7 linked regions of the Xenopus tropicalis genome follow. The protein of the gene in region 2 interacts with the protein of the main gene of each other region in a pairwise test. Links are inferred from orthologs where the notes say so. Each region holds a gene or a part of one and is shown on either strand. Other genes may lie near its edges.

Region 1 (3,500 bases), on a different chromosome or scaffold from region 2:
TCAAAGGGAAGCTGTTATATCTATAAACGTGCATCCCAACTGCAGCAATTGTTTAGCAAGTATGTTGCACAGATAGGATTTTTATCTTATATAGATATACAAAGGGAATATTAATGGACTCGCTTTACCTAGCATTTTTCTCTCTAGCTGCAAACAACTCAATTGTGCTGCTTGGCAGCCGGCCATTCCAAATCACTAGCACATGCTGGAATAAAGTCTTTATACCAGTGCAATCAGCCCGTGACTCACGGCATAAGTGACTTGTGTTCAGCATGAAAAATAGTTACGCCAGGAAACTCCCAAAAGCAAGCAAAAAAGTCATTACATATATAAAAAAAACGTAAGGAAAACAAAAATAGCTATTTGTGCTAATGGTTTGTTAAGAATCCACAACAGTAAAGTGGATTTTTGTAAGTCAGTTTCCTTCATAAGGAAAAGGAATGAAAAACATACCGAGGGTTATTTGTTAGACACCCACAGTGACCACAATAACTAACCATGTAGGTAGAATAGTCATCACTGGACTTTGCCTATCAAATTATCACTGTCCTGTTCCTTGTCTTTACCTATATTTATTTATATTACATACATAATATACAATTAGCCAAATGTGTATTACAAATAGTCTAATAGAGGTTCATTTACTATAGCATTTGCATCATACAGTAAGTCACAGTAAACAATCAGGCATTCAGTTTCACTAGTTTCCCCTGGGCATCGTGCAACCTCCTAGAGGCTCTGTTGAGTTTTTGGAATTTATAGCTCAGCAACATTTGATGGCCAGTACAATGGACCAATCTACATTGGACCAATCAAATATTGCCTGCAGCCTATAATAACAAACCTTAACAAAACTCTTAGCATTTCTATTCATTTTATTTTTAAAAATTCAACTAAACTCATTTCCACGAATGTCTGACATTTACTAAACAATGTGAACTGAAAAAGTCTGTCTCGGAAACTGCGACTTTTTCAAATTGTCGCCCAGAAAACTTGAATTTTCCAGATTGTGTCAAAAATCCGAAACCTCTAAAGTTTTGAGTCAAAAGAAGAATCTTTCAGGCAAGGGAAGAGACATCTGCCATTGACTTCTACATGATTTTGGCAAATTGCAGACCCACTTACTGTTGTGACAAACACTGAGACTGTTCAGTGTTGCTTATTTTCAGGCAAACAAATAAGCAACACATTCCCTCACATATTAAATGATTTAACGTGGAAAGGACATGGAATGAGCTTGTTCCCTACCCCATCATACAAAAACATCCTATGGGACTGGGAAGTAAAATGAGTATACACAGCCTATGGATATATGGGCCCAAGGAAGTTAAAACAAGATAGAAATAAAAGTATTTGTCAGCTTGTGGGAACTGGTTTGTTGTATTCTTCACAATGCTGCAAAATATATTGTTTCCATTATTTACCAAGGTCATATGTACATCATATTTATAGCTCAGTTAAGAAGATGTGGCAGTTTCATTTACATGATATCACAGTTGATTGCAATTAGAGAACACTACAGTTATGGGATCTAATATTAGTAATGCTTGGGTTTGGGTTCTCTAGATATGAAGTGTTTCTATGATGTGCAGCACCAAGCTGCTAAAAACATTGTGCCTCATTACAAAAACCAAAGCAAGAAAAAAGTGCAGCACTAGCAGTGATGAGGGGGTCGGGCAGCTGCAGGCAGTGCTGTAGTTATTGGGGAAGTTTAACTCTTTGTGCTCCAAACCTGCACCTACGGGTGCTCAGGGCAGGGTGCGAAGTGCAAAAAAAAAAAAATATATGGCATGTTGCACTGGTTTGCACTTTGCACTCTGTTCTGCAATTTGTAAATGATCCCTACTGTTTTATTATACAGGTATGGGATCCGTTATATGGAAACCCAATATCCAGAAAGCTCTGAATTACGGAAAGCCTGTCACCCATAGACTCCATTTTAATCAAATAATTCAAATTTTAAAAATTGATTTCTTCTTTCTCTGTGAAAATAAAACAGTGCTTTGTATTTGAACCCAACTAAGATATAATGAATCCTTACTGGATGCAAAATAATCCTATTGAGTTTAATTAATGTTGTATTGATTTTTTAATAAACTTAATGTATGAAGATCCAAATTATGGAAAGACCCTTTATCCAGAATACCCTTGGTCCCGAGCATTCTGGATAACAGGTCCTATACCTGTACCAGAGAAAAAGCAAATCAAAAAGCAGGATTATTTGCTTAACTTATTTACTACAACACTGGATAACAAGTGTCAAGAAAAAAAGATCATATACCCATATAATAATAATAATAATAATAATAATAATAATAATAATAACAGCAAGTCAATGCAAATGAATAACAATTCGTTTTTATTGGCCTTTTTGATTCTGAGGTCTCCTGCAGGATTATAGTTTGTCAAGCGAATATTTGAACTTCATAAGAAATTCTGAAGCCTAGAAGACTTAACAATTTTTATGAGGCTGGCACATTCTTGTGAAAGAGCCGAACTGTCCAGCTGGCTGTCGAAAGGACAGTGCTAGAAATGGCTTCCTACGTAACACTGTTGCTTTATGCATAATCCCAAAAGCTAAGGCAGGTCCTCGGAAGGAATTTTTCAAACGAAAAAATGATTATTTCCTGGACGATTTTCAAGTTTCAACATAGGATGCTTTGTACGCGGGATGCTTATGTGTCTGTGACACTCTGCATATTATATGAACAGTTCCACGCTATGCACAAGTGATGACAACGCAGAAGATTAAACTTTTGGCATGATGTTCTACAAAAATGGTTTCCCGTGGTCTTCTTGCTAAGAAAAACGGGTGAGATTTTTTTTATCTAAAGATCCCTTATATCCCTTATAGATTCACATTGCAGCAGTGCAAAATATATTTGAAATGTGAAGCAGCAGGTTCTCCTGTCTCAAAAGATAGATAGATGTTGGCTAACCATTATGGTGTACTGTGATGTTGTTGCAAGCTTAATATCCTACAGTCATATTTTGGAACTAAATATGTTTATTTAATATTCAGATACTCTGCTACAAGATACATTTCATCAATGCCAAATATGAGCAATGATTTTAAAGACCTTGACGTTGGAAATCCATGGAGTATTTGTATTTCCAGGTGATAAAAGAGAGTTCAATTTATTCGCTGTGCTTTATATATAACTATTTTCTAAATCCACACTTAGGTTTAAAAAAGAAAATCAGATTATATATAGTTGTCACCTACCTGTGCTTGTCCCCCTGTGTGCAGGGGAGGGTGTGGAGACGTCTGATGGTGTGACGGATGCGCATGAAGGTGCGAATGAGAGTGATGATGAGGGTGTCCCTGTTGGTGATGGGGTTGAGAGTGAGGATGGTGTGGCGGATGCTGGTGCTGTTGGTGAGGGTACGGATGATGCTGGGGCAGGCTTTGGTGCTGATGCGGGTGAGAGTGCATATGATGATGTGGAGTCTGGTCCTGTCGGGAATTCATCATGTCTATCATGTGACCCATAGAGTTC
Region 2 (4,028 bases):
TTTGCAACCATTATGGATCTATGCAGCTTAGTTACCATCAAGTAAAAGGTAATATTTTATTATTACAGAAAAAATAATTTTAAAGTATTGGAATTATTTGCTTAAAATGGGCAGTAGGAGAGACGGCCTTCCTGTAATTTGGAACTTTCTGGATATCAGGTTTACAAATTAGAGATCCTGTATATATATATATATATATATATATATATATATATATATATATATAAAACACAAAATAGCCGGTACCGCACTCACAGGTCTTATAGAAAGATATTTATTCAAAAAATCGTGTCTAATGTTTCGGCTGCCATTGCAGCCTTTCTTTTTTGAGAAAGGCTGCAATGGCAGCCGAAACGTTAGACACGATTTTTTGAATAAATATCTTTATATAAGACCTGTGAGTGCGGTACCGGCTATTTTGTGTTTTACTATTTCGTATTGGACTGCACCCAGGCATCCTTGACTCTGTATTGTGAGTGCCTGTTACCAAATTTTGTGATTTTATATATATATATATATATATATATATATTTTGTTTGCATCAAAAACTCTCCACATTATTTTACAAACAACTGAAACATTTATTAATCATTTGCCTTGTTCTACCATGCCACTAACAGTATACCTGAATTCAACTATTCCAAGGACAAAACAATGCTGTTAAGGGAGCCAGTGTCCTTTGCATGTTCCACTTACTGTTCAGAGGAAAATGCAGCTGCTCCTAGAATCCTTTTTTAAAACAGCTGATCTTCATACTAGCATGCAATTTTGTTAAACCTGAAAATTTGACACAAGAAGTGAATATAAAAATACCAATATTGACGAATTTGCAAGAAAATGTGTGATGTGTATGTAAACTATAGGCAACTGTCCTGGGCCTGGACTTGAGAAACACAGAGGAGAACCGCACACTGAATGGTGCATGGTCAAAAAGTACTGGTACTAAAAAGCAAAATTCCCACACTCAAGATGTTTGAATCTTCTACTGAATTGTAAGTTAAATGCCCTGTGGGTTTGTGAATCCCCTACTAGCCTGATTTCCCTTCTTTTTGCATATTCCTGGCACCTGTAACCTAGATACCTGGGTAGAATAGTTTTTCCCTATTGGTTCACGGATGTTATAATTGTTTCCTGTAATGTTTAATATAGTAAGCGGGATCACATGGCTCTTGCCTTTTGGCCTCCACCTGCTGGAATGTCTGCTGGGCTGTCTTGGACAATAAGGCCCTAGTAAAGAAGAGGGACCACATAGGCACATGGGGAAGTATGAAATGTGTTTGTTTCTGTGCACCCCTGCGGTGAAACGCAGAAACAAACGCTAGTAATTACAAGCCCTAAAGGGCATCTCATAGTTGAAATGCAGGAGCTAGTTCACACTTGAGAACTGGTATCCATTATCCTTATTTGTTTGCAGCATGAGAGGTATTGTTTAACAACACTATTTCCTTCCTCTACACAGTAATGCAAGGACCCAACTGTGAGAGAGGGTTATGGCTTTTTAATTTTAATATTACTATTTTGACAAAACAAGGACCATTTTGTACCACCTAAAAAATACACAGCAATGAGAACTGCAACTCATATATTACAACTTCCCGTGTTTTAAGGAAAATCCCAGAAACTCAAGACACCTAGGATTTATTGAACAATTTATGAACACATTTGTTTAAACAACAGATTTACTGTATGCTGCACTCACAAAACAACAGTTGTGCAGATCATGCTTCCAATCAAAAGCTGATGTGATTGACTGTTTAGAACTAAGCAATTGTTCTGATCTACAAACCAGAATAATTAAGTTTGTCGTTTTCTCCCATTAAAAAAATACCAATCTCACATTCACACTATAGAAAGTGGTCCTCCACTGCATGAGCTTGATCACATCAGAATGTCAGCATGAAAGTTAAGGCATGCAATTACATACAATTTTGATGAATGTGAACTCTTTCCATACAAATGAAATCTGACAAGTCACAGGGTAATCATATGCTCATCACTCCTAAAGGATGAATGAGGATGCGACTGACTGACTCCTGAGGTCGGACCTAAATTGCCACACATAGAATCTGTCAAATCCCCAGAAACAAATCTTACTGTGGGACTACAGCCAGGGTTGCTCACTTACTAAAACAACAAGCCCACAAAATGGTACCGCACTACATATATACACACAAACAGTGACTGATAACAAGGTATACATGTGTGTGTATGTAATAATATACAAAATTTAAGCTGCTTTTACTTAGCATTTGTAAACACACAAACATGTATACTGAACTACATTTCTGTTGATCAATATTACAGCTTTTTAAGAAACATTTAAAAAAGCATTTTTATACAACAAACTATAGGAGTTGGAATGATCAGCAGGCATCACAAGTGGATAACACCATGTGCAGACTAGGGATAATGAGTAAAATATTTCGGTTGTATTAGAGCCACCTACCTCTTCTTCTGGAAGGCTGATCTCATCCTGAGAGCCCTCCTTTTCAGCTATGTTGCTGTTCATTGTGGTCTCCTGGGCAGAGGCTTCTGTGAATGTCAGTTTCTACAGTGCAGACTTTTCGCTTTCCTTATACTGGGAAGTGCTGGAGAAAGACTGGAACTTAGTTTCAAGCAGTCAGGTTACTGGTTAGTTTAATGAAAAGCATATCATTTAGATCCAAATATTATAATAAAGCTCTTGTTCTTTCAGAGTTTTGTCTTAAAAGTAAGATGAGGAAGTCTGTGGTTTGTACGAGTGATAAGGAAAGCAAGCGAGGGGGTGAGAGAGGAAAGGGGGATTGCGAGTGACTGTTGGTGATTAGGGTTAGGAGCAGCCTTTGCTTTCTGAAGGGGAAGGGCTTAAAGCAACTTCAGAGCCGGGACTACAAAACTCCCAGTTTGTGGGTGGGGAGCTGCTCTGTTTAGAGAGCAGGGAGGGCTGGTGAGAGAAAAAATCAGTATCGGGTCCAATTTCTTAGTTAAAAAATCAGCCGTGCTTGAAAGCGTCTTCAGAAATTGACGATTTCCAGACAAGGTCAAAGGGTGAAATGCCGAGAGATAGAAAATAGGCAGCGGCAGCAGGGTGAGAGAAAGAGAGAGTGGAGGGGGCGGAAAGAGTGATAAGCACTGTGTTTGGTGCTAGTGGTGAGTAGGATCTATTACAGTGCAAGTATACCTGAATGTTCTGGGTGCCGCCTTACCCTCCTTATATTATTTCAATTTGTAGCGATAGATCTTAACACTTTCCTGTAAGGTTAATTTAGGCAGAGGTTTACACCAAGGTGCGAAGTACACAATGTAGGAACCAGCAAAGATAATGCGCTCTTATGCATTTATTCTTGTTGTTGTTAGGATTCCACAAAAGAGGGAGCTTAGAGCCATGGCAATGAGACCTGGAGATTTGAGCTAAATCTGCTTTATCACAGTTTACTAATCTCTTAAAAATGCTTTCCCACCAGCAGTAATGTAAATCGTAGGTGACTAAACTCCACATGTGCCTCAGCCTTAGGGGTGACTGCACACATAGGAATTAGTCACCCTTGATATATCTGCTCTACCACAGGTGTCTAATCTTCTGGATATTCTTTGTGAGAAAATTACGTTCAACTTTAGAAGAACAAAGCAAAGCGTATGTTTTCCCAGTGGTGATTTACATTATTGCTGGTGGGAAAGCATTTTTTGGAGACTAATTTCCACATGTGCCATCACCATAAGGGCAATAGCCCACAGGAGGATTAGTTGGCCACGGTTAAATCTTGGCTACCGCGGCCAACTAATCTCCCTAAAATTTTGGGAACTAATCCCAGAAATGTGAATTCCCTGCAGGAGGAAACAGCACAACTTCACAAAACAAAGCAATGCATATGTCTTCCCATCGGCAATTTACTTTATTGCTGGTGGCAATCTAACAATAGGTGACTAATCTCCCTATGGGCCTTAGGATACTGGGAGACAAGGAGATTTATCACCTGCGGCAAATCTAGGCTACCTCAGGAAGCAGATCTCCTAGAAATACTTGTACCTTCATTAACATTCTGAGCGCG
Region 3 (3,500 bases), on a different chromosome or scaffold from region 2:
CTGCAGTGGGCGGCGCGTGGGGGTGAGTGACGCACGATGTGTCGCTGTGTTAATTACAGGGTCCTTTGTGTCACAGCTTTCTAAGTAAGGATTAATAGGCCAGGCGGGTGAGGGGGACTTCCGGAGCAATATATAGCTCAGTTTGTATCCTCATTATACTGGGGATAAAAAGCCCCATTCTTACCCTCCCTCTGTATATACAGGGGATAGATAGCCGGGCCTCCCCTCTCTCTGTATATACAGGGGATAGATAGCCGGGCCTCCCCTCTCTCTGTATATACAGGGGATAGATAGCCGGGCCTCCCCTCTCTCTGTATATACAGGGGATAGATAGCCGGGCCTCCCCTCTCTCTGTATATACAGGGGATAGATAGCCGGGCCTCCCCTCTCTCTGTATATACAGGGGATAGATAGCCGGGCCTCCCCTCTCTCTGTATATACAGGGGATAGATAGCCGGGGCCTCCCCTCTCTCTGTATATACGGGGATAGATAGCCGGGCCTCCCCTCTCTCTGTATATACGGGGGATAGATAGCCGGGCCTCCCCTCTCTCTGTATATACAGGGGATAGATAGCCGGGCCTCCCCTCTCTCTGTATATACAGGGATAGATAGCCGGGCCTCCCCTCTCTCTGTATATACGGGGGATAGATAAGCCGGGCCTCCCCTCTCTCTGTATATACAGGGGATAGATAGCCGGGCCTCCCCTCTCTCTGTATATACAGGGGATAGATAGCCGGGCCCTCCCCTCTCTCTGTATATACAGGGGATAGATAGCCGGGCCTCCCCTCTCTCTGTATATACAGGGGATAGATAGCCGGGCCTCCCCTCTCTCTGTATATACAGGGGATAGATAGCCGGGCCTCCCCTCTCTCTGTATATACAGGGGATAGATAGCCGGGCATCCCCTCTCTCTGTATATACAGGGGATAGATAGCCGGGCCTCCCCTCTCTCTGTATATACGGGGGATAGATAGCCGGGCCTCCCCTCTCTCTGTATATACGGGGGATAGATAGCCGGGCCTCCCCTCTCTCTGTATATACGGGGGATAGATAGCCGGGCCTCCCCTCTCTCTGTATATACGGGGGATAGATAGCCGGGCCCCCCCTCTCTCTGTATATACAGGGGATAGATAGCCGGGCCTCCCCTCTCTCTGTCTATAAATGAATGATTTTTCTATGCTCTCCCCACCCTCACAATACCCACCTGATCCGACAGAAGACAGATTTCTCTTGCGTGTAGTCCATTGATGCAGTATCTGCAGGAAAAAGACAAAAATGACCCCAATCAGACAGATTGTACAGATCCTACTCTGTCACCCTACTGTGGGAAGGTTTTTATCACTACCACCCTGTGAGGGTTGGGGCCTATCCACACCCCCTACTGTACATATCAATGCAGGCAAAGTGAATTCAGGGGTACAATTATCTGCCCCTTCCTTACCCCCAGAGGTGCAGCTGCTCCAGGAAGGGAGATGATATGGGGCTGTAGATCCATAGAAGACACTGACATCCTGTGGAGCAAGAAACTCAGCGAATGTGGCCCCCTTGAACACCTCCTTTTTGCAATGCAGGATGAGAGAAGCCTGGTCTGAGATGTACACAATTCGACCACTGATGAATGAGACTGCCACAGAGAATGTATCCTGGGATAACGAGAGAGAGCAGGAAATTCATTCTCACCCCAAATCCCCCCCTAACTGGCCTTCAGGCTGGGCCCCCTTAGCCCATAACAAGGTTACAGATATATAGAAACATTGGGGTAACAGTCACCCCGCTATAGTTCCAGGGGTACCCAGGGCACAAATAAGCACTCACCCCAAATCCCCCCCTAACTGGCCTTCAGGCTGGGCCCCCTTAGCCCATAACAAGGTTACAGATATATAGAAACATTGGGGTAACAGTCACCCTGCTATAGTTCCAGGGGTACCCAGGGCACAAATAAGCACTCACCCCAAATCCCCCCCTAACTGGCCTTCAGGCTGGGCCCCCTTAGCCCATAACAAGGTTACAGATATATAGAAACGTTGGGGTAACAGTCACCCTGCTATAGTTCCAGGGGTACCCAGGGCACAAATAAGCACTCACCCCAAATCCCCCCCTAACTGGCCTTCAGGCTGGGCCCCCTTAGCCTATAACAAGGTTACAGATATATAGAAACATTGGGGTAACAGTCACCCCGCTATAGTTCCAGGGGTACCCAGGGCACAAATAAGCACTCACCCAAATCCCCCCCTAACTGGCCTTCAGGCTGGGCCCCCTTAGCCCATAACAAGGTTACAGATATATAGAAACATTGGGGTAACAGTCACCCTGCTATAGTTCCAGGGGTACCCAGGCACAAATAAGCACTCACCCCAAATCCCCCCCCTAACTGGCCTTCAGGCTGGGCCCCCTTAGCCTATAACAAGGTTACAGATATATAGAAACATTGGGGTAACAGTCACCCCGCTATAGTTCCAGGGGTACCCAGGGCACAAATGAGCACTCACCCCAAATCCCCCCTAACTGGCCTTCAGGCTGGGTCCCCATAGCCCATAACAAGGTTACAGATATATAGAAACATTAGGGTAACAGTCACCCCGCTATAGTTCCAGGGGTACCCAGGGCACAAATAAGCACTCACCCCAAATCCCCCCCTAACTGGCCTTCAGGCTGGGCCCCCTTAGCCCATAACAAGGTTACAGATATATAGAAACATTGGGGTAACAGGCACCCTGCTATAGTTCCAGGGGTACCCAGGGCACAAATAAGCACTCACCCCAAATCCCCCCCTAACTGGCCTTCAGGCTGGGCCCCCTTAGCCCATAACAAGGTTACAGATATATAGAAACATTGGGGTAACAGTCACCCCGCTATAGTTCCAGGGGTACCCAGGGCACAAATGAGCACTCACCCCAAATCCCCCCTAACTGGCCTTCAGGCTGGGTCCCCATAGCCCATAACAAGGTTACAGATATATAGAAACATTAGGGTAACAGTCACCCCGCTATAGTTCCAGGGGTACCCAGGGCACAAATAAGCACTCACCCCAAATCCCCCCCTAACTGGCCTTCAGGCTGGGCCCCCTTAGCCCATAACAAGGTTACAGATATATAGAAACATTGGGGTAACAGGCACCCTGCTATAGTTCCAGGGGTACCCAGGGCACAAATAAGCACTCACCCCAAATCCCCCCCTAACTGGCCTTCAGGCTGGGTCCCCTTAGCCCATAACAAGGTTACAGATATATAGAAACATTGGGGTAACAGTCACCCCGCTATAGTTCCAGGGGTACCCAGGGCACCTAACTGGCATTATAACTAACCAATCCCATAGGCCTGGGAAGATATCTCTCCAATATTAATGCTACATATTTCACATTACTGCTTTCTGGCAAGGACACAAAGAGACCCCAGTGGGTGTGCAACACTTACGGGATTTTTTAGGGTATACTCCGAGGTCACGCTCTCCACCTCCTCGATGGTGTAACTGGACATGTCCAGGCAACATGGCTGGGAGT
Region 4 (3,500 bases), on a different chromosome or scaffold from region 2:
TACACTTTTTAAAAAAATTTTCATGTATAGATAAGCTCATATAATCTCGATATACTAATGTTATGCCAATTTTTGTGTAGGACTTGAAGCAGTTTGACAGCTTTCAGGAATGGACAGATGGTTATGTGAGATTTATATACAATGCAGAGGACAAGAATGCCCAGCGCCATCTAAGTGGTTGGGCCATGAGAAACACCAACAATCACAACTGTCAGATCTTGAAGAAGTCTTGCCTGGGAGTGGTGGTTTGCAGTCGCAATTGCACATTGCTAGATGGAGGCAAATTACTGCTCAGACCAGCCATATGTGACAAGGCCCGTCAGAAACAACAAAGTAAGTGGCAGAGACCATATCACTTCTCAGCTGCGGAAAACTTTTGTCTTTTACATCCATTTATTTTAGTCAAATTTCCATTTAATTATTTTAGTATTTCTGGAAATTGTTGTAATAAAAAATCACACAGCACACAGAGGGCAGATAAAGGAGGTTTCACCATCAGTATCAGAAGGGTGTATTTACTATGAGAGAAGCCATGGAACGCACCATCAAAAGAGAGGACAATAAGGGATTAGCGAGGTTGAATAAAAGTTTTGTATTACGAGCAATAAGTATTTATTAATCAATATCAATTAGTTCATGGATCAGATAAGTTTTTTGCTTTTGACTTTTATGAACCTGTTTTTTTGCAGACTTACAATATTTAAGTGTTTAAGTCTGTTTTAACCATTAAATTGAATGATATCCACAGAAATGATCTTCTATATATATAATATATATTACTTTTTTAGTTGGTAAACATTTAAAGATTTTATTTTAAAATACCTATACTATCTGGCAATTCTGTTAAAATATGGCAAATATAGCTATTTTATATGGTTTTTGTAGTTCATTCTTGCCAAATCTGTGATACTCTGTGATAGCTTTTGCTGTCCTATGATATTTTCTGTCCCATTAATGTTTTTTTTGGTATTTAACCATTAAATCTGAATTAAATAGAATGGGCACTTTAAGCTTTTTGTTTGATTTAGTTAAAAGTCAAGTGAAACCTGGAGTTTTGCTGTACACCAAAAGAAAATATTCTAGCAATGAAACAATATTACAGCAATGAAACAATATCATATAATAACTAAAGTAGTCCCAGTTTGGAACAGGTGTGGATCTATTGTTGTTCTTACTTATCTGTCTTATTTTTTATCTGCTATATGGTAACAGGGTGCTGCAAATTAGTCAAAATTTATGGCTCCTAGGTTGCCAACCTAGAGAGCCCTATCTCTTAATTAACTGTCACTCTGATCAGGCCTGATTGACGTGCTAATAATCAACTTAAAGAATGGTTCTCAATTTAGTTAGTGTGGATCTACCTTCCAGTGTGAGACAAATATGGACTTTGGAGAATCCTCCATATCAATGGCATTCCTGACTTAAACAAAATAACACATAAAGATAACATGACACATAAAGATAAAGGGAGCAATTGTTTATTCCTCTTAAAATCTGAATTGTGCAAACAAATACAATTTCAGTATAGTTAATACAGAGCATTTATGTCTTTCACAAGCAGCATACATAGAAAAATAAAAGCACTGAAATTGCGGTGAGGCAAAAACTTAAGGCACTTCAGATTTTGTATACAGAACTGTGCTTACCTATCAGTGTTAGATTTTAAAAGGAGAATAAATACATATCAATATTTTACTGCATGTGTTGCAATGTGCAATTATTATCACTATTAGCAAGATCACTCAATGATATGATTTAACTGAGCTTAATTTATTTCAAAGAGAAAATGTGCAGTAACTGCAACTCTGCTCTGGAACTGATCCCTTGCCGAGGCCACAGTGGTTATCCTGTTACTAATTTCTGGCGACTGGACGGGAAAGCCATCTTCTTCCAGGTATTATATTTATTAATTTCCTATAAGAAAACAAGAGAAGGGGCTGATATTTTGTGGGAAGCCCATGCATTTTGTAGCTTTGTGTATTATTCAGGCTTGTAAGCACACAAAAGTTTTGTTATTCCAAAGAGTAGGTTGTAGTACTGAAATAGGAGGCATCATCTGGGAAAAAATACATCATTAAAGGAACAGTAACACCAATGTTTTTAAAACTTATTACCACCACCCCCCACCACCACCAAATAGCTATGATGATAGGTAAGGCTTACTTCCCCTTGCTTTTTTTTTTAACTCTTTACCTTCACTTGCAAAGTAAACCATAGGAGAAAGATGAAAAGGCAATTGCAACTTAAATTCCTCTGTGCACTGAACTGGAAGTCAGCTGCGCACTGATAAACTAAAGCACCTAAGTTTTTTTTTCAGTGTCTGCAGCTTAAATTTATGTCTCTATTCCTTTGGACAGCTATGGGGGTAATGATGTGATAATATATTTAAGCTGCAGATGCTAAAAAAAAAAAAAAAAGCTTAGATGCTTTTAGGTCATTGGTGCAAAGCTGACTTCCGGTTCAGTGCACAGAGGAATTCAAGCTGCCCGTTACCTTTTAAAAACTTTGGTGTTACTGTTCCTATATAGGGGGTGTTCATCTTTAAATTAAGTATTAGTATGATATAGAGAGTGATAGTTTGAGATCATTTGCAGTCAGTCTTCAGTTGTGGTTTATTAATTTTTTTTCTTTTTGTTCAGCAGCTCTCCAGTATGGAATGTCAGCAGCTATCTGATTGCTAGGATGAGGATGCAAAATACCAGACAGTGTTTTAAATAATAGACAGAAATAGGAATACGAGAGGGTCTGACTATAAGGATAAATAATAAAAAGTAACAATAACAATCAGGGGCGCTGCTGCCATGAGGCAAGTTGAGTCACTCACCTCAGGTGGCAGCATCAGACAAGTTACCAGGGGAGGCAAAAAAGCACTCCTGCTAACTTCTAGTGCAGAGAGCGCCCTGATGTGAAAAAGCAGCGCGCGGGGGAAGCGAGGGGGGCGGCACCAACTTTGCCACCTCAGGCGGCCAGGACCCCTGAGGCGGTGCTGATAACAATAAAATTGTAGCTTCAGACAACAATACTTTTTTTGGCAGCTGAGGTCAATGACCTCTCTTTAAAACCTGGAAAGTGTCAGAACAAAAAAAAACCCCCAAATCATTCAAATATGCTAAATAAAAAATGAAGACCAATAAGTAGCTTAGAATTTGTCATTCTATAACAAACTATTTAACATAAGGTTTACTACTTTTACTACTACCCTTTAATCCAATAGTTACTACATAAAGCAGACAAACTGCGAATAGCAATCAGTTACGCTATTGAAACCATTGTCAGGATCAACATCTTTCCAGTTATATTAAATGTATTTTTATGCATATCTCTATGTTTAATGATAGGCAAAGGGCGTCCATGATCATCCCCGACCAGAGAGTAAATCAGAGACAGAAGCCAGGAGAAGTGCTGTAAAACGGCAACTATCTTCATCTCATCTGTCACAGAAAAAGAAACTTCTGGATCCTGAGGTAAGACCCTAAATCAATACATTTACAGGTAAAGTC
Region 5 (4,142 bases), about 31 Mb from region 2:
TGCAGTTGGACAGTACAGGTATTCAGCTATCTGGAAATCTGTTATCCAGAAAACTCCGAACAACGGTAAGGTCATCTCTCATAGGCCCCATTTCCATTTTCTCTGTAATAATAAAACAGTACCTTGTACTTGATCCTAACAAAGACATAATTAATCTTTATTGGAGGCAAAACAACACTGTTGGGTTTATTTAATGTTTAAATTTTGCTTTAGTGAACTTAAGCTATGGAGATCCAAGTTACAGAAAGATCCCTTATCCAGAAAGCTTCAAGTCCCAAGCATTCTGGGTAACAGGTTCCATACTTGTACAGACTTAGCTGCTTATACTAAAAGAATAAGGGTTCTTAAACACTGGCATTTTAGTGTAGGGACCCAAATATCAGTATATCATGTTTAAGGGCCAGGTTATATTAAATTTATGTCAAACAAGTTAGCTACAGGTCATCATGTATGTGTCCTAACAATACTATGCCATAAAAAACATAAAATGTAGTGTTTGGCTAATGTCGCATGGAGCCAGTCAGTCACCTGCAATAGATTTCTGCTACCATGGCTGACTACTGTGCCAAAATGCCTTTCCACTGGCAAGCCAAAGCGATGCGTATAACTTTCCACTGGCGACTCCTAACTCCTATTGTTGCAGGTGGAAAGGCATTTCGGAACAGCTAGTTGCCTGTGGTAGCAAAGATCTATAGTGGGCGACTAACTGCACCATTAGCCTTAAGGTGGCCGTACAGGGGCTGATTAAAGCTGATGACTTGGTTCCTCCCGACCTAGTCGGCAGCTTATTGGCATGTGTAAATTCTAGATAACAATCGGCAGGCTTGAAAACCTCATCAGACAAAAGGTGCATTGGCGTGGCCCTCAGTGTCAAAATGAAGCAATTTCCTACCTGTGATACTGTGCCTGCAGCAGTTGAAATTCATCCTTAATTCTATCACATGAATCTGAGGTTGTGAATTTGAGTTGCTGGGGCAAATGCGAAGAGCCCTAAGGAAAAAAAAATCATAATAGAAATTCCATGTGAAAACATTTGCAGCCTTAATGGAATCCACAGGACACTTGGCTAATTAGTGGTTAAATTAAAGGCATAGTATACCCCTTTAATGATCACCAGTCCATTGAGAAACCTCTGTATAATGAGCTACTCATTTCAGAGTCTAACAGGTTGCATCAAGGGGCAGGGAGGGGTTTATTTATACAAAGGGCTTCTCAGTGGACTAGTAATTTGTTTTGATTGTGTTCCCATGAGTCAGGAGGTAGAATAGGGTAAAAGAAGAGTTCTACAACAACTTTTGTCTTTGTTTGCCACCTCACCCCTTTACACCTAAATGGCTTATGCAATATGTATTATTATGTTAAGCTAAAAATACCTTTGGAAACATTAGCTGCCATATCAGTTAGATATCTGCTGGGCAGGTTTGAAAATATCATAAAATAAGGGCCACTTGGTTGTTTATACGCTCAGTTCCTAATCAACCAAGTATAGGCCCCTATAATGATCTGATCAGCGGCCATAAAGCCAAACAAACCTTGGTGGCCAAATCACAAGATAATTCACTTGTTTGCCGACTTCACCAAATGAGTGGATCTTTCAGTGTATGGAAGGCTTTAAGCACATAATACATGGCTGCAGCAAGCATAGTTATTACTAATAATTAGCTATTTCTGTTAAGTATATGTATCCCATTTCCAAGGGAGAAGGCAGCAACTAGAACACTGCTTGGTCATTATTTTGACAATTGGAGGCTCACTTTTCTGTGGTACAGTACATGATACATGAATATCTCAATTATGCACTGCCAATATGGTGAGGGCCACATTTGTCAGGCACCTCTGGTGATTACCTTGGACCCCAGGCTAATACTGCTCTTCACTAAAAAAAACACAGTGGCCAGGATACTATTTTAGGGTGCACCACCATCTTGCTTCCTTGCTGCTGCTCTGGGTCATGTGCAATACAGCAAAATATTTGGCTTGCAGCTTCAGTCCTGATTTTGCTCTATAGCATGTGCTCATTACCCAGGGCAGAAGTAAGAATTGCATGGACAGAAAGCAAGCTGGCAGCACTCCCTACAATAGTGCCCCAGGGCAGTGCAATTTTAAGCACAAAGGCAACTCCAATGGGGGGGATTGAGGCTAGTAATTATAATTATTGGGGAGGGGATGCCTACCATTGCCCCTTCCAGTAATTTCTTGTCCTTAACATGTATTTATAAAGAGGCAGCACATTGCACAGCAGTGTGTAATACTGGATATCACCTCGAAAATATAACAATGCTACCAGTGCTCTAGACGGCAAAGATGGATTCAACAGAATTCTGAAACTCTACTACAACACTAAGCCCTTTCGGCTCCTGCAACGGCAGGACTTCCTGCAACAAAAAAATCCTACCCCCATATTGCTTTTAGCGTCTCCAGCAGATGAACATGTTCTATACAAATATAACACACAATAATACAGTAGTACATTCAGTTCTACCCCTCGCCTTCTCACCGAGTGCCGGCTGCTGCTTTGAGGAAACATCATATCCCACCCGGCCCCGGTATGTACGGCGCTACGCACAGGCTCAGTATCCAAGGCCCGGCTTCCTGTGCGCTTTATCCAAGGGCTCAGTGCACTTTGGGAAGGCTTCGCTCTGCTTCTCAGCCGGCACTACTGCTTTGGGCCCAGATATGTGATCCGCAAACCCCAGATGATCTTCTGGCCGCTCTGTGTGCTGTCAACCAGGACCTCTACTGTCCCCTTGGCCTCGTCCCTTCTTGATCTCTAACCCGGTAATGCTCCCCCACCCCTGAGGCTACGGCCTGCCCTGCTTCACTACACGATCTCCTAGCTCTCTACCCACTCAGGAGCCTTTTGTTTAATGGCGTCTGTGCTTAAGCAGATATATGGCTCCCTCTACAGGTCACAGTTTCAATGATTCAATTTCCCATGTAAGGATCCCTTGTCCTTTTAGCTGATTTTAAAATTCCTGAAAAAATGAAAGCTTATCAGTTACATTCAATGAACCCTGCTATACAGACCTCAGTGGGAGCATCATTTCGCTAATTTTTAGAGGCTGCCTTATTTTAATCTCCCTTAAGAATATTTTTTGTCTCTGTATATATCTAAGGCTTTTACAACAATCATCTGAACTGAAGTAATTCAATTTTTACCAGTGGTGAAAGTAGATGTTACTAAGCCCTCAACATATTCATTAAAGGGGCACCCAAAATTTCTGGAGAAATTGTTTAGTAATTATGGCCCCACTGGGCCCTCAACATTTCTGGCCTGCTACAAACTCCTGGCTGCACAGATTTTGCTTCCAGACACTCACACATGATGTTCAGTTCTTGGTAATTATGGGGTGCAAAAGATAAGACACTGATGGCCTCGTTTACTAAGGGCCTACAGCACCATGTTGTTCAACCTTCACACCAATGCACTGAGCATTTGCATCTGATCAGTTTATGTTTAGATGAACACGGTTTCCCAATGGCACACTGGTGTAACAATGCAAAATGCTGACAAAAACATGGAGCCTTGCAGAATGACATCTAAGGCTAATGTCCCATGGAGCAAGTTAGTCGCCCGCGATAGATCTCGCTACCGCGGACGACTAAGTGCTCCAAAATGCCTTTCCACTGGCAACTATAGGAGTCGCTGGTGGAAAGGCCTACGCATCGCTTTGGCTTTCCCAATTCGCACAAAGTTTCCTCCTGCAGGCAACTTTGGAAAGCCGAAGCAATGCATAGGCCTTTCCATCGACTCCGATTGTTGCCACTGGAAAGGCATTTCAGAGTGATTAGTTGCCCGCAGTAGCAGAGATCTACAGCGGACAACTAACTTGCTCTTTGGGCCATCAGCCTTAAATGAACCAAATTATTTAACTAAAACAACTGTCTCACTGTAAATGTGATTTTGGGCCACAGTAAAAATCTCAACTTAATCAAGAAAAGTTTAAAGTAATAGGACAGCAAACAATACAGTACTAAATTCCTCTCTGCACCTCAGACTTATTTAGGCATTATTACAATATAGTTCTATATTGGACCATCATTTAGTCAAGAGGAAAAGGCTCAGGTTTTTTGAGAGATGAGAATCAACCAAACTCTAGCTTCCTGAAGCACTCAATTTAATGGTTGCACACAAAAAGTTG
Region 6 (3,500 bases), on a different chromosome or scaffold from region 2:
CTATACCCATACCATAATAAATTTGTATTTTACTTGGAAATATTATTTGGGGGTAATTTAACACGATTGAAAAGGCAGGTCAGAAATGCACCACAGTCCAATCTCTCCCTACTATACCTGCTATCCCACAGCCACAGTCCCTTCCCAGAGGCTATTATCCCCCCCACTGCTACTATAGGCACCATCTCTCCCTACTATACCTGCTATCCCACAGCCACAGTATCTTCCCAGAGGCTATTATCCCACTGCTACTATAGGCACAATCTCTCCCTACTATACCTGCTATCCCACAGCCACAGTCCCTTCCCAGAGGCTATTATCCCCCTACTGCTACTATAGGCACCATCTCTCCCTACTATACCTGCTATCCCACAGCCCCAGTCCCTTCCCAGAGGCTATTATCCCCCCACTGCTACTATAGGCACCATCTCTCCCTACTATACCTGCTATCCCACAGCCCCAGTCCCTTCCCAGAGGCTATTATCCCCCCACTGCTACTATAGGCACCATCTCTCCCTACTATACCTGCTATCCCACAGCCACAGTCCCTTCCCAGAGGCTATTATCCTACTGCTACTATAGGCACCATCTCTCCCTACTATACCTGCTATCCCACAGCCACAGTCCCTTCCCAGAGGCTATTATCCCACTGCTACTATAGGCACCATCTCTCCCTACTATACCTGCTATCCCACAGCCACAGTCCCTTCCCAGAGGCTATTATCCCCCCACTGTTACTATAGGCACCATCTCTCCCTACTATACCTGCTATCCCACAGCCCCAGTCCATTTCCTATTATCCCACTGCTACTATAGGCACCATCTCTCCCTACTATACCTGCTGTATCACAAGCCACAGTCCCTTCCCAGAGGCTATTATCCCACTGCTACTATAGGCACCATCTCTCCCTACTATACCTGCTGTATCACAAGCCACAGTCCCTTCCCAGAGGCTATTATCCCCCCACTGCTACTATAGGCACCATCTCTCCCTACTATACCTGCTATCCCACAGCCACAGTCCCTTCCAAGAGGCTATTATCCCCCCCACTGCTACTATAGGCACCATCTCTCCCTACTATACCTGCTGTATCACAAGCCACAGTCCCTTCCCAGAGGCTATTATCACCATTGATACTATAGGCACAATCTCTCCCTCCTTTTTTTCTAAATCAAAGTAAGTAGAAGATAATACGCCCTCCGGTAAGAGACTAAAGTCTGTCAAGTGGTAGGTAGGATACACACCCAGAACATGTCAGATCTTTGATCCACCCTGGACAAGTTTGTCCTTGGCAAGCTGATCGCAATCTGTGTGTTTTGCTTCAGGATTCAATCTTACTAGCCTGGGTTGGGCGCCACAGGAAGCGCGGCTGAGAAAACCAGAAGAGGTTATCCTGGGTAAAAATACTTTTACATCCTCATCTTTGTGCCATTCACCACCCATCAATACTGTGAAGACCCAGAAGAAAGCTGGAGGACAGAACAAGGAGAGGTTAGTGCATTGGTTTGTAGCTAATGGTAAGTTAGAACCACTTGTACTCGCTCTTCCCATGATCCTTCACTTTTTCTCTTCCCATAATGCTTTGCTGTTTCTCTTCCCATAATGTTTTCCTTTTCTCTACCCATAATCCTATGGGTAGGAAGAAAGCTGGAGGACAGAACAAGGAGAGGTTAGTGCATTGGTTTGTAGCTAATGGTAAGTTAGAACCACTTGTACTCACTTTTCCCATGATCCTTCACTTTTTCCTCTTTCCATAATGCTTTGCTTTTTCTCTTCCCATAATGTTTTGCTTTTCTCTACCCATAATCCTATGTTTTATCAACTTGACTAAAGGTGACCATACACGGTAAGATCCGCTCATTTGGCATTCATTTGCCGATATCCCCACCTACAGTTGGGCGATATCAGACTAATTCAGTCATTTGACCCTGGGGCCAAATGATTGAATTAGAAAGACAGGTGTAGACACCATCGGTATTAACGAGCTGATGTGGTCACCAATCAGAAGGAAAAATCAAACCTGCCCAATTGAGATCTGCCGATTTCAGGCCAGATGTCGGACGGACAGGCCCATCGTTCGTGCCCATAAATGGGCAGATAAGCTGCCAAATTATCGGTAGCTAGAATCGGCCCGTGTATGGCCACCTAAGGTGACCCCAGCCTTCAAGTTACCAACCAGTTGAATTTACCTGGGCTATTTCAGGGGATGTCCTTTAGTACTTAAAACGGCAATACCTAGGGACATATGAGTTGATGGCTGGACCACTCATGAATGAATTATATGTCTACTGGTCTGTGTGCAAGCTTAAAACAAAGCCTGCTCAATACACAACCAGCGCTCAGTCACTATGATGTGGTGACTGGCTGATTAGCTGCAAAGACCTTTCTGGAATTCCTAATTTGGAAACAGGAGAGGCGGGTGGCAACCCTAGGTACCACACTGCTCAGTTGGGTTCAGATCTTCTCTTTTTTGATGATGGTCTAGCAGCCTCAGTACTATTATGACTGGCAGGTTTACAGAAGAACAAAACCTTGGAGGCCTCTCAAACCCCAGTAGAATTGCCCAACTGCACACCCTCTTACTTCCATGTACATGTACCACAGTAGGGTTGGGGCTTGATATCCCTTTCCGAGCAGTCTTATTCCAGGAGCATGCATAGCTGAAGCCAACCCAGACCTGGCTTCACCTGTGCAAACTTCTGGTTGGCTATAGCAGAGAAGGGGACATAAAGCATGATACTGCACTACTCTTCTTTATAAGGACAAGTACACGATCTGTGTTGTATAAGGGGTCCCCAATGGTGCAGTTCTTGAGGGGGTTGATGGCTTCTGGAGTGGGTCTATGGTTTTAACAAGGCTTTTGTTCTTCTTTATTATGGAATGCCTTTTGAAGACTGGGTACAACAACTAAGGTGTCATAATTCAATTTGAACAGTTAAGTTGAATAAGTAAGTAGGCAGAACTTACCAGGATGTGGGGAAAGCCCATTATAACTTATATTAATAGTTATCCAATACCCAATGAGTTACTGAGGCATGCCAGTATGGTCAGTGTTACCCTAGGTAAGACCTAAGCCTGGCTTGGCAATCTCTGGCTCCTGGCAAAAGCCAGGGGGCTGCTGTATGATGCCATTAAAAGTCACTATTTATTAAAACCAGTCAGTTATTTATCAAAAAATCAGAAGTTAAAAAAGCACGTGCTGTAAAAAGTTGTCGAAAAGTCACGAAAAGCTCAATTTTTTCGACAACGGTAAGCGCAACTTTTTTTACTTGACGCACAAACCAGCTTCAAAATACCCAAAACCCTCAAAGACCACGAAGCAAAGAAAGATCTTCCACTAGCAAAAAGGAACAATTGCCATTGACTTCTACATGACTTTGACAGGTTTTAGATGGAGAGTTTTCAGATTCAGAATTCTGACGGAATGGTCTTATAATAAATCTCTGAAAAGTCCCCACTGGGGCTTTTTCGGGTTCGCGAAGGTTATGGGTTATTAAAT
Region 7 (3,960 bases), on a different chromosome or scaffold from region 2:
ACAGTGTAGGTGAATTTTATTTTGCTTGACAAACACAATAGAAAACAATTTGCAAGTATTTCTTAGGGTGACAGGTCCCCTTTAATGTCCTTTGTATTTAGACTTTTGCAGTTCTACCATTAATATACAGAAAACATTTATTAAATTAGATTTTAATATTTTCCACACATAACTGCAATAATGAAAAACATAAGTTTTGCTATAGTATTACTTGCCATATCATTGTTTAAGGATCCCTCCATTGCTCTGTGGCAACAGGTGTATGCTGGGATGGCCAGTTGCTAAGAAATGTCAAGAAGCTTTAAACCACAAATACCTGACTATACCATACCTAACTAATAAGTAACACTAAACAGAACCAGTCTGTTGCTGCAGACACTAATTCTGTGTGTGTGTGTTTCAAAAGGAATCAACTTTCATAATTATGTGGACAATGAAAAATTGAGCTTTTCTTTATTGCTTTTAAATTATTTCACTTGTCTGCTTTCCTGGAGTTTTTCAGTCATTTCTAATTATACCATGCCTAAAAGTTAATCAAAATAATTAACATCTGCATATTAACATACAGTTTAGTCGTTTCAAATTGAAACAGAAATCACAAATCTCTAGATCTCCAAGTAAGCCAAAGGCTAAGAGATTATGTTTTCACAAAAATGAGTTAAGCAGCTTTCCAGGATGCACCGTTCAAACAGGTAAACATTAAATACTGGAAAGTAAATAATAAAACGTAATACATCTTCTGACACATTACAAAGGTGTATTCCTTTTCCCAATTTCAGATCTATTATGAATAAGCATGTGCCTTTAAAATTAAAGTAAAGGCACAGGCAGAATAACCTGATTGGTAAATTATTTACTTGTAATGCCTTCTGGAACTGGCCCAAACACATATACTTTTGTCTTTTTTTTTTGCACATGTTTACAATGGGTCAATAGCTGGTGAAAACACCTAATACTATCAGAAAGGGAACGATAAAGCTTTCTATGTTTTGGCTTACATTAAATTGCACCTCTCCCCTCAAACTGTGGCACAGCCCAAATCAACTGGGTTAGAATATGTCCAATAAATCTGGTTCAATTGTATTTTCAGGATCATCATTCTTCAGTTCTAACACATTTTAGCATGTACTAATCACCAGCTGAATTTAGGATTTTATGATGGGTGCTTGTCAGGCAGCAGGTGTCAGCAGTACCCACTGAATATGATGGATTAATGGATGCTACCAAAAATGGTATTTATTTATAGGGAAGGATAGTAAAGCATAATTCTCAGCACAGTTCCATGACAAATATAACAAATCCTATGCAATCAATTTTGCAAGAAATTTTACTTGGAATGTTTTACCAGTGGATAAATATGCCATGTATCCCAGGACTTTTCCAACTTGCAGCTACACAATTACAACACATATCCCCCACCAGCAGTAGCAGCAGACTTCCCTGATGCACACTTCAGGACAGAAACTGAATGTTCATACAATCAATCAGGAAAAGCCAGACTGACATGTCTGACTGGTAAAACACTTTCTATGAGACATTTCTATTACTGAAATTTACAGAATATGAATGAATATTATGGGAACTAAATGTAGATCTATAAACATGTGGTATCAAGAACTTTATAGCTCTTAACCTGCACAAACATTACTCAAGTTTTGTAGTAAACACTTGGAGAAAGCTAATAGGAGGTGAATTCCCGTAGATCTACAAGTGCCCTATTACAAATAATTCCCTCTTCCTGTAACACTTGCAGTATGCACACAAATTATTTCATAAATGAACAGAGAAATGGAAGCTACCTCACAAAGTAAATAACTTGATTACCAGTATACAACCTCCTCTCTTCATTTTGTCCCTTGTTATGACTATTTATAATGAGTTCATTATAGAGGGGGATTATCTGTGTACTGGCTATCTAATTGTCACAAAAATACCATGGAGGAGCTTAGTTGAAGAAATAGCACACATAGAACTTTTATGATTAAAACAATAAGTAAAAAAGAACTGTTCAGTCCTGTTAAGCATTGAACAAGCGGGCATACTTCACCTTTAAAAAGGCAAAATGAAACATAGAAAAAGGATTATGTCTTAATAAGATAAAGCCAAGTCAATGAAACTATGTAAACTGTCATTATTGATGATCGTTAATAAAAAAGAAGTTACAAAAAAAAAAAAAAAAAGATAAAGCCAAGTCAAAATATAGAAGGTTCTTGACTAACTTTATGCTGGCAACCCTAGGCCTTTAAGACTGAGATTTCACACAATCTTATATCATCAAGTTGTGTTGATCTCTGGACTTATGATGTGGCAACTGAATGTCGGCTGAGGTCATGGTGAGCAAGGAACAGAAAACCAGAGACCCACATAAACGTGTTGCTTCTCACCTTTCTGCCATGTGACAGCAACAATGAATTAGATGTCAGGGGTGAAGGTTTTCTAACCACAAGCGGATCTTACATTAACACAGACTCTAACTCTCTGGGCAAGTTGGTTTAAGATGCCCATGATTATATATATAATATACACACACCTGTATACATCCTTACCAGGAATGTTCAACCTGCGCCACTTTAACTATTAAAAAATGAACATGAAGCTCTGACAGAGTAATACTGCCAGTGGAATACTAAGCGAAAGTTATGAGCAATTATATGATTATTAAACAAAACACGTCTACAGAATCAGTATTAATATTTTGGCTCCACCACCAGCCGGCACAGCGTGAGCCACACCCCGGGGCCCAGCTCACAATGCCGATGTTATCACATTCATTTCCAGGTTTGACTTTTACCTGACGCTGCTGTTCGCTCCCCCGTAGATATACCGGGCTGGTTACCGACCGCCGTAAGATTAAATGCCAAGGAGACAGGGTGAGGGCGGCAGTACTAATACCACTTCTCCTCCTTCTGTCTGCCAGCACCGCAACGTCAGGCGCTCGGAGCAACCAATCAGACGCAGTATAATCACTCCAAGTCTACGCGTTCAGCGCACAATCTGTACGTGGCAAAGGAGGAAGCGAAGCGAGCATGCGCATTACAGCTTTGTGGCACAGCTTAGCATAGGACGGTGCTTTCGGGAAACTGTGTTTCTTTTTTCAATCAACTTTATTAGTGCTATGTTTTTCAGTAAACTTTATTACTGTCAAAAATTAAAGACAAGCAACCGCGGGTTATCTGTAGTTTTGCGGCAGGCTGGTCTCTAGGTGAGAGCCGTCCGTTTCTGAAAACCAGACACCAAGAAATAAGCCCCTTCTGATCCACTGCACAAAGAGTTTCCAAGGCCAAGGTACAGAATCAGCACACAAAGTAACCATCTCTGCTTAGTGAGTGAGTTTCACATTTGCCTGTTGTGTTTCCTGATGTGACATTATACATTGCCGACATTTATGTACAGGAGTGTGGATAATGCTTGGTTTGTACCTGGATACTTTTTAACTAGTTTTGAATAGGCGTCACGGTGAAAAGTGCCCTCTGTGTATATCTGTGCCAGTAGGCACTTGCTTAAAGGATGGTCAGGAAGATGGATGCAGTTTAGTGTCTCAAGTTTGTATCTCAGTATTTACTTTTCATCATATTTTGTACTTGGAAATAGTAACATAGTAAGTTGGGATGAAAAAAACGACTTCTGTCCATCACGTTCAACCATAATGCCTGTATATAACCTGCCTAACTGCTAGTTGATCCAGAGGAAGGCAAAAAACCCCATCTGAAGCCTCTCTAATTTGCCGCAGAGGGGAAAAAATTCCTTCCTGACTCCCGGATATTTAAAACGAACTGTTAATGTTATAATGTTTTATCAATGCATGATTATATAATACCAGCATATTCCCCAGTGCATTATATAGCAGTCCCTGCCCTAGCAGATCTTACAGTCTAAGGTCCCTATAAGATTTATGCATTGTAGGGTCCGAATTATCAGAAGCCACTTAACCAGAGAGCCCAGAGGAAACCCACTCTGACC

Evidence for each region.
Region 1: the proteins of rbpms (region 2) and creb5 interact in binary tests that used the Homo sapiens proteins (3 or more experiments, as listed by UniProt). The two-hybrid records come from large-scale screens. The link is inferred for Xenopus tropicalis from reciprocal best matches to the Homo sapiens genes RBPMS and CREB5.
Region 3: the proteins of rbpms (region 2) and per1 interact in a two-hybrid assay, tested with the Homo sapiens proteins (2 studies listed by BioGRID). The link is inferred for Xenopus tropicalis from reciprocal best matches to the Homo sapiens genes RBPMS and PER1.
Region 4: the proteins of rbpms (region 2) and gcm2 interact in binary tests that used the Homo sapiens proteins (3 or more experiments, as listed by UniProt). The link is inferred for Xenopus tropicalis from reciprocal best matches to the Homo sapiens genes RBPMS and GCM2.
Region 5: the proteins of rbpms (region 2) and tle5 interact in binary tests that used the Homo sapiens proteins (3 or more experiments, as listed by UniProt). The two-hybrid records come from large-scale screens. The link is inferred for Xenopus tropicalis from reciprocal best matches to the Homo sapiens genes RBPMS and TLE5.
Region 6: the proteins of rbpms (region 2) and foxp3 interact in binary tests that used the Homo sapiens proteins (3 or more experiments, as listed by UniProt). The link is inferred for Xenopus tropicalis from reciprocal best matches to the Homo sapiens genes RBPMS and FOXP3.
Region 7: the proteins of rbpms (region 2) and tfg interact in binary tests that used the Homo sapiens proteins (3 or more experiments, as listed by UniProt). The two-hybrid records come from large-scale screens. The link is inferred for Xenopus tropicalis from reciprocal best matches to the Homo sapiens genes RBPMS and TFG.

Annotation. Positions count from the first base shown.
Region 1 is NC_030682.2:43,114,400-43,117,899, reverse strand, and holds part of creb5 (cyclic AMP-responsive element-binding protein 5), read right to left. Parts: coding exon 3,227-3,500; intron 1-3,226. UniProt on the Homo sapiens protein: Binds to the cAMP response element and activates transcription.
Region 2 is NC_030677.2:83,961,183-83,965,210, forward strand, and holds the start of rbpms (RNA-binding protein with multiple splicing), read right to left. Parts: upstream 2,801-4,028; 5' UTR 2,510-2,800; coding exon 2,447-2,509; intron 1-2,446.
Region 3 is NC_030679.2:144,443,499-144,446,998, reverse strand, and holds part of per1 (period circadian protein homolog 1), read right to left. Parts: coding exon 3,415-3,500; intron 1,645-3,414; coding exon 1,443-1,644; intron 1,258-1,442; coding exon 1,206-1,257; intron 1-1,205. UniProt on the Homo sapiens protein: Transcriptional repressor which forms a core component of the circadian clock.
Region 4 is NC_030682.2:90,621,082-90,624,581, reverse strand, and holds part of gcm2 (chorion-specific transcription factor GCMb), read left to right. Parts: intron 1-80; coding exon 81-333; intron 334-1,781; coding exon 1,782-1,894; intron 1,895-3,338; coding exon 3,339-3,464; intron 3,465-3,500. UniProt on the Homo sapiens protein: Transcription factor that binds specific sequences on gene promoters and activate their transcription. Through the regulation of gene transcription, may play a role in parathyroid gland development.
Region 5 is NC_030677.2:114,622,611-114,626,752, forward strand, and holds the start of tle5 (amino-terminal enhancer of split), read right to left. Parts: upstream 2,801-4,142; 5' UTR 2,531-2,800; coding exon 2,498-2,530; intron 991-2,497; coding exon 893-990; intron 1-892. UniProt on the Homo sapiens protein: Transcriptional corepressor. Acts as a dominant repressor towards other family members. Inhibits NF-kappa-B-regulated gene expression. May be required for the initiation and maintenance of the differentiated state.
Region 6 is NC_030684.2:25,953,114-25,956,613, reverse strand, and holds part of foxp3 (forkhead box protein P3), read left to right. Parts: intron 1-1,326; coding exon 1,327-1,492; intron 1,493-3,500. UniProt on the Homo sapiens protein: Transcriptional regulator which is crucial for the development and inhibitory function of regulatory T-cells (Treg).
Region 7 is NC_030678.2:105,590,825-105,594,784, forward strand, and holds the start of tfg (protein TFG), read right to left. Parts: upstream 2,801-3,960; 5' UTR 2,792-2,800; intron 1-2,791. UniProt on the Homo sapiens protein: Plays a role in the normal dynamic function of the endoplasmic reticulum (ER) and its associated microtubules. Required for secretory cargo traffic from the endoplasmic reticulum to the Golgi apparatus.